2 linked regions of the Canis lupus familiaris genome follow. The protein of the gene in region 2 interacts with the protein of the main gene of each other region in a biochemical or structural test. Links are inferred from orthologs where the notes say so. Each region holds a gene or a part of one and is shown on either strand. Other genes may lie near its edges.

The links.
Region 1: the proteins of MBP (region 2) and TLK1 form a complex in vitro, tested with the Homo sapiens proteins (2 studies listed by BioGRID, with this or other methods). The link is inferred for Canis lupus familiaris from reciprocal best matches to the Homo sapiens genes MBP and TLK1.

What each region holds. Positions count from the first base shown.
Region 1 is NC_049257.1:15,984,106-15,988,315, reverse strand, and holds the start of TLK1 (serine/threonine-protein kinase tousled-like 1), read left to right. Parts: upstream 1-1,370; 5' UTR 1,371-1,484; coding exon 1,485-1,623; intron 1,624-1,901; coding exon 1,902-1,940; intron 1,941-4,210. UniProt on the Homo sapiens protein: Rapidly and transiently inhibited by phosphorylation following the generation of DNA double-stranded breaks during S-phase. This is cell cycle checkpoint and ATM-pathway dependent and appears to regulate processes involved in chromatin assembly.
Region 2 is NC_049222.1:2,890,266-2,893,824, reverse strand, and holds part of MBP (myelin basic protein), read right to left. Parts: intron 1,854-3,559; coding exon 1,417-1,853; intron 1-1,416. UniProt on the Homo sapiens protein: The classic group of MBP isoforms (isoform 4-isoform 14) are with PLP the most abundant protein components of the myelin membrane in the CNS. They have a role in both its formation and stabilization.

The DNA of each region.
Region 1 (4,210 bases), on a different chromosome or scaffold from region 2:
ATCCCTGGTGTGTCTTACGTGTGTAGGTGTGTAGAAAGCCACACTGCATCTATAAATTTTAGCAAATGCTGTAATTTGCTTTGGGATTTTCTAGCAGGGGACTCAGCGGCGGCATGGGGACGAATTGGAACTTTCTAGAAACCATACCCCCTAACACAAGATGAACACTGGATAGTTTCCCTAAACAAGTGCATTACTTACAATTTTCTATTTAGATCGTCCGTTTACTTTTTTTGTTTTTTTTTTTTTAAGAGCTGCTCTACTGCACAGAGTGCACAACACCGGCAAGGATGGTCTTTTTTTGGAAAACATTCATCAACTTTTACTTTCACCCACCCTCGCCCCCAACTTATTTTTTGAGCTCTTTTATGCAGTAATCACTCCCAATTCTACACACGCGGAGACGCACGGAGGTCTTTTTTTTTTTTTTTTTTTTTTTCTGCACAGTACGGAGGGGCAAGAGACACCAGCAAGCAAGCAACTCTTTTAACTTTCCAGTTCCGTTTCGAGAAATGATCGGCTAGAAGTCCTGAGAACGGCAGCCCGGCGAGGCAGACGCGCTTCTCCCCAGGCGGGGTGTGGGTCGGGAGCAAGGCGCGCTTCCGCGGGAGGGAGGGGGGCGGGCCGGGCGCGGGGCTGGGGCTGGGGCGGGGGCGGGGGGGAGTCAGGTGGCTCCGGAGCGGGAGCCCGAGCGGAGCGACGCGGCGGGGGCGCGTGCGGGGTGCGCCTCCCTCCGGCCGGCGCGAGGAGGCCGCCCCCGCGCTCGCCAGTCCGCCGGCCCCGCGCTGCGATCGGCGGGGGCGCCAGGGGCGCCGGGCGCCCGCGTCTCCTCCCTCCCTCCCTCCGGCCGGGCGCGCGGGCTCCCTCCCCCCCCCCCCCCCCCACCCCTGGCAGGTCCCTCCCCCCTGCCTGCTCCCGCGGCCGCCGCCGCCGCCGCCGCCGCTACCGGAGGCGCAGGAGCCTCGCGATAGTGTTTGCACAGGCGGCGCGTGACGCCGCCGCCGCCTGTAACTGATGCAGAGGTTACCCCGCCGCCTCAGCCGCCTCAGCCGCCACCCACCGCCCGCCGCCGCCGCCGCCGCCGCCCAGGCGACGCCGGGGGCCGACGCACTGCAGAGGTGCCGGCAGGTTCCGCTCGCGGAAGTGCCCTCGGCCGGCGCTGCCCGCGCTCCGCCCGCACCCGGCGGGCGCCCCCTCGACGCCTCCGCCGCCGCGCTCCTTCCCCCCGCCTCCTCCCCGGCGCGCCCGCCTGCTCCCTCGCTTCTCCCCCTTTTCCTCCTCCCCTCACCTCTTCCCTCCCCACCTCCCCCCCTCCTCGGCTTCCTCCCCCATCCCCTTGACTCTCCCCTCCCTGCCCTCCCTCGCTCCGTCGCTCGCCCTCAGCGCGCGGCCCCCGCCATGACGGAGGCGGGTGCCGGGGCCGTTGCCGCCGCCGCCGCCGCCGCCGTCGCACGGGGGGAGTCGGGTTCCCAGAAAGTAGCTTGATGAGTGTCCAAAGTAGCAGTGGAAGTTTGGAGGGGCCGCCATCTTGGTCCCAGCTCTCCACGTCTCCAACCCCGGGCTCGGCGGCGGCGGCCAGGTCCCTGCTGAATCACACGCCGCCATCCGGGAGGCCCAGGGAAGGTAAGCGCCGTCGCGCCCGCCCGCGGGCCTCCGCTCCCCCCCGGTCTCTCTCCCCGACCCCAGGGTGGGGGATGGTGGCGAGGTGGACGCGAGGCCGCCCGGCTGCGGGGGGCGGTTCGCGGGCGGCGGCGGCGGCGGCCGAGGGGGTGCGCGCCGGAGGGCGCGGGGCGCGGCGCGGCGCGCAGACTCGCACGGGGCTCGGAGCAGCCTGGCTGCTAGGGTGGGAAGCGCCCCCCCGCTCCCCCCGGACGCCAGCCCCTTTCTGCTCCATTTGCTAGTGCACTCAGCGCTCTTAACCTCCTGGCCTCCGCTCTCCGGTGGGTTTTCCCTCCCGGTGAAGCCTTCATCCCTGAGCCCCCTCCCCTTCCCCCGCGCACTCCTCCCCTAGAGGCGGTCCCCGCTCGGCGAGCCTCGCAGCCCGGGACCCGGAGGAGGATGCCCTCGCTGGCACGGCCCCTGCCCCTGGGGCGGGGGGGGCGGGGGGAGTCGCTTACATTGTCAAAGCCCGACTTGGATCCCCTGCCTGGCCCCTTAGAGCAGTTTAAACGACAGGCTGGACTCGTGGGCAGGCTTTTAAAACCACCCCCTCCAGATGGCTGCAACTTTCTCTTCCTTCGCCATCACCTCCCGCGCGTCTGTGCGTCCTCTCTCCCTCCCCCCCCCCCCTCTCTCTCTCTCTCTCTCTCTCTCTCTCTCGCAGGGTCGTGGGGTCTTGCGGGAAACAACCGGGGTAAAGGTGAATGCAAACACGCACCGGATCGGTTAGCAATTGTTTTCTAAGTTTTCTGGTTTCTTGCATGCAAAGGGTGCTGCCGCCAGATGTAGCAGTTACACAGCCATAGTAAGACACAGGAGTGCTTTTGACTTACATTTTTTAACTTGCTGTATTTAACTTTAAGTGTACGACATAAGGTGAAATCTGGGAGAACGCGCGTTTATGGGGGAAGAATGTAACGCGCGTGGAATCGGCGTTTGACGCCCCTTTTGTCTGGGAAAACGTTTAGCGGTATTCATCAGCAATTGGTAAATGGGTTGTTCTGTGCACTCCCAGTTGTGTCACACAGGGAGACTGAAGCCACATTTTCAAAAAAAAAAACGTCTGGAAGTCCAGTAGTCTGGTGAATCCTTCAAAGAAACCAGGAGCTTTAATTTATGTAGGAATCGGTGGGGTTAATTTATTTTGAAGATCTCTGTCAATATTTACTATCTGGCCTTGACAATTGTTAATCAAGTGTTTTGTGCCCTGAATCTAGTGGTTCAGGCATAGCATTCTTTGTCATTTTGTTCCTGTGAGCATGTGTGAAAGTGACAATAGGCTCAAAGATTGGCATGAATTTGCTCCAGAAAATTCATGGAAAGATTTGATTTATGGCATCCATTAGACAAGCAGAATGTATTAACAGACCCCTTTCCCTCTCACCCCCAACACCGAGTTCTGATTATCACAAGATAAAAGTTTATTTTTTGACTAATTCAAATTTAGTGCATCTGGCGATTTTTCTTTTTGCACTTGAAAATTTGTAAATGAATGTTTCAAAATCTATTTTGTAGACAGAGCAGTTGGTGCTTTTAGCATACTTCTACTTTTGTAGTTTCATTAAGATGCTTAATGGTAGTGTTATCAGTGAGAGTGCAATGAGTTATAGTAAATGATGGCCATGGGAAAGACTGCCTTTTAAAAGGCTTTACCTTTTTTTCATTCATTCATTTCTCAAATATTTATTGAGCCATTTCTGTGAGCCAGGGGCTGTACTAGATACTGAGAGGACATAGTGTTGAATTGTTCATCTGTAACATCAGTTATCAGTAATTTGGGGACTGCAAAATTAGATTGTGAGTTTCTGAGATTACTTCAACTCTAGTTAAAAAAAAAAAAAAAACAAAACAAAAAACAAACTTCTATACTATTCTGTACTTTTCCTGATGTTTGAAAATTCTGAGGGGTTGGAATAATTTAGCTTGAACTTCTGAATAACCAGAATTCTTTCTAGAAGTTTGGGTTACAGTAGGCTTTTTATAAAGTAAATTAGTGAATCTTTTGTTAATGAAAAAACAAGACATGCTTTTGTGATCGTTATATTTCACCAAGTACCTCTATGGCCACAGTGGTGTATTTCTTTTTGACCAACCAGCATGTAAGTTAAAACTGTGTTAATCTTCTCAAGGGTTATATATATTTATCTTGAAGCTACAGTCTCATATCATTAGTGCTAACAGGAATTGCATATATGAAACCCTAGATATACGATGAAGACATTTTCTATTGAGTGAGATCCCAGTTTTCATTTTAACAAGTGTTTAGCATCTTTTGCAGGTGTACGTGTTAGTATATTGTATAAATTGATGTACGTTGAGAGAGCTTTGGACTTACAGTGACTGTAAGAATAATAATAATAATAATAATATTAGTAGAACTTGAATATATGTATCAAGGTGAGAACAAACTTTGTTTCTGAAGAATTGAACCAATTTAATGTAATATATAATAGAAAAATTTGGACTTAAAAGATATATATGTGTACATGTATTTTTAAGGTTATGTGATGAAGTGCTCTTAAGCAAACTTTAACTTTGAAAATGGGCTGTT
Region 2 (3,559 bases):
CAGGCAGCCAGGGTCTGGTGTGGCTTGATAGCCGTGCTCTGAAAAAGCACCTCGGACTGAAATCAACATTGGAAATAGGTCAGATGCCCAACATTTTGGGGTGACACAAGACTGCCCAAAAGGAAAAGCAAATGTCTACAAACACAGACACTGAAAGGACCAAGCAGAAGGTGAACGCTGTCAGCACTTAAGACGCGCCAAATGTTAGTCACGAGAAGGCATGACCAGTGACATGTGAGTGATGGCACCTGGGGGCAGATGCTGGGGACCTCACGACCAGCACCTGCGACATCCCCAGCTCCTGTGCCGCCATGTCCCCTAATTCCAACGTGGCAAAACTGCCTTTGTTTAAACACAAATCGCTCAACGATTTCACAATCAGCAGTAATTCTAAATTCTGTAGTTAGAGACTGAGCAAGTTTTAGAGACCCCTTTAGAAACCACAGGTCAGAAGCCTCTTTACATTCCCAAGACTTTCAGAGTCAGCATGATACGCACGCAGCCAGAGGAAAAGTGACAACTTAGGTGTTTTGTGAGCACAGCCAATAAACCCGGGCTTTCCCCAAAAGACCCTCTGCTTCCACAATGACCCAGCCAGGCAACACCCGGAAAAGGCATACAGCACTCTATGTGCTTGCTACGGCAAAGCCACTCGGGACTCAGCTCCCTGATGGGATGTCACCACAGATGCCCCATTCACACCGACTCCGGGAGCCACTGCTGGAAACTCGGGAACAATGGGAGCTTTTTCCCTTGCAATACAATTTTTATCTACAGAACATTTACATAATTACATAATGAGAGCTCACAGATTCTCTATTCAAATTAATGGAATAACAAAGTAATACAGTTTTGATTCATAGGCACTCTCAAGGATCCCTCCACCCCTTGCCCCTCAATAACTCAGATAAAAGACATATCTGCTCAAGGCGAATTTCAATCTTGAGTTTGTTCAAAAGTCCTCAATCGCATGATTGTTCCGAGACAACGCGAAGCTACAAGACAACGCGAAGCTAGCAGCGCTGACACCAAGAAAAGTGAGCACAATGCGACGTCGAACCCAAAAGCGCGGGCGCAGAAGCGAATCAGCCCCCAAGCCCCCAAGCGTGAGATGCCGGTGACCCGAGAACGCGGTGCCCGTGCCGGGCCCCCCTACGGATGCGGAATTCAGGATGTCCCGGCATCCCCTGTGAGGAGGGGAGAGAGGCTGAGCTGTGTGGAAATGCGGCAAAGCAGCAACCCGGCCCCCCGCCCCCCGCCCGCGCCTGTGGCCCGTGAGCGTCGCCAGCGAGGACAGACAGTAGCGGGACAGCATCCCCGCTGGGGCTTAGCTCACCTGCTCACTCTCCTTCCTTTTCCTTGTCAACTAAAGTGGACACACGTGGTGTGCGCCCCTAGTTACTCCTCAGAGCTCACCTTGCCTGAGCCCCGCTTGGGCACACCCCTGTCACCGCCAAAGAAGCGCCCGAGGGAGTCAAGGATGCCCGTGTCTCTGTGCCTCGGGAGGAAGCCATGCCTGGCGTGATCCATGGCGCTTGCTGAGGCCAGGTACTTGGATCCGTGCCTCTGGGAGGGTCTTTTCTGTGACGCCATCACATCCAGGCCCTCGGGAGTGGCTGCGCTGTCCTCTTGGATGGTCTGGAGCTCGTCTGACTCCGAGGGCCTGTCTTTGAAGGTGTTGTCCTCCCTCCCCGGGGCATCTCGGGAAAAGAGGCGGATCAAGTGGGGGCGGCCCCCTGGGTCAGCTGGGTTGGCGTCCTGCCAGGCATTCTTTGGGTCTGCTGTGCGCTTGGAGTCTGTCACCGCTGTGTCCTGAGAGGGGGTCCCATTGTTCTGCTCCACATCTGCCTCCCCTGCAAACAACAGTGAGATATGAACACGGGCCGTGCAAAGCAGAGTGAGGGACAATGCGGCTTTCTTCCAGGGCTGGGGACCTGCTTGTGTCCTACCAAACCCACAGAATGCATGCGCGCCCGGGGCCGTCAAGCTACCTGGTAGCCCCAGATCACTCGTGGTGGGACCCAACCTGGACTGAGCGTCCTACTTGCAGGTCTTGTCTCGGGGAACCCCAGGGGCTGCCTCAGTTACTCGACACCTGGTGCCCTAGATAAAGCGTACCCCAGCTTCCTGCTGAGGAGGCCCAAGCAGACACAGCAGTCACCCCTGGGCGCCGCCGCTGCTGCTGCTGGGCGTGGAGGGGCCAGGGCTGCAGGCGCCTCTGTGGGACATCGAATCCCTCCAACTCCACTGGTGCACAAGCTAAGCGTGTTGGGAGCAGTGGTTTGATCAAAGGTATTTTCAGTGTTCTCGATAAAAATGGAACTTCCCACATCTTTTTGCAATTCATGCCCTAAAGAAATGGGGCATTTAGAATCCTTGAGTTTCCAGATTCCACAAGAGGCCTCTTGCATTAGAGAATTGCTTATTCAGGGTATTTTAATTTGGCTTTTCTTCTGCAAGCAGCCCCAGTTACAAAGTGTGAAGTGGGAATGGCGTATTCTGTGAGCCATATGACCTTCTCCCAGCTTTCACACATGTACGGGAAAATACCGCATTTCCTTCCAGAATGGCAACACACCCATTTTGCTCTCAAGTTACAAGTTAGGTTTGAGGGTATGTCCACCCTACTTCACTCCCCCCTTCATTACATATCTATAGAAAATGTGGGTTTACTCATGCTTTCCTCTAATATCATCCATCCATCCATCCATCCATCCACCCAACCAGCACCAATCTGTTCACTGACATTTACCAGCAACAGCACCCACTTGCCCATTTATCTGCTGAGCCACCTACCTACCAATCCAGCTACTGATCCAGTCACTGACCTGTCCACCCAGCTAACCCTCCACCCAGTCAGCTGCACATCTTTCCACCTACCCACCCAATCACCCATCCATCTGCCCGCCCACCCACCCAGCCCCCCAACCATCCATCCACCTGCCCAACTACCCACTCACCCAGCTGTCCAATCATCTATCCACCCACCCCCAGCCAACCACCCACCCAACAGCCCAACCATCCATCCACCCACCCAACCATCCACTCACACACCCAACCACCAACTCAGCCACCCATCCATCCACCTGGCCACCCATTCATTATTTATGGAGCACTTAATAACCATCATATACTGAGCTAAATGTTTGGGCTGCAGTGATGAAAAAGATGTGGTCCTTGTCTCATAAACATTAATGGAAATGAATATTAGGAAATGAAGTATCCCCCAAAAAGGCAGGTCCCCATCCTAAGTCTCAGTCCCTGTGAATGTAAACTTATTTGGAAATAGGATCTTTTGTGGATATAATCCAGGTAAGATGAGGTCGTCCTGGCTGAGGGTGGGCCTAACCAAGTGACTGGCTGGTGTCTGTATAAAAAGAGGGAGATACAAAAGGGATATAAAAAGATACAGACGCAGACACACAGGGAAGGGACCTTGGGATGGTGGCAGGGACGGGAGTGACGTGGGAACACCCGAAGGTAAGAGACAGGGCACAGGTCCTCCCCTAGAGCTGGTGGCGAGAGCACAGCCCTGCTGACACCTTGGTTTCAGATTCCC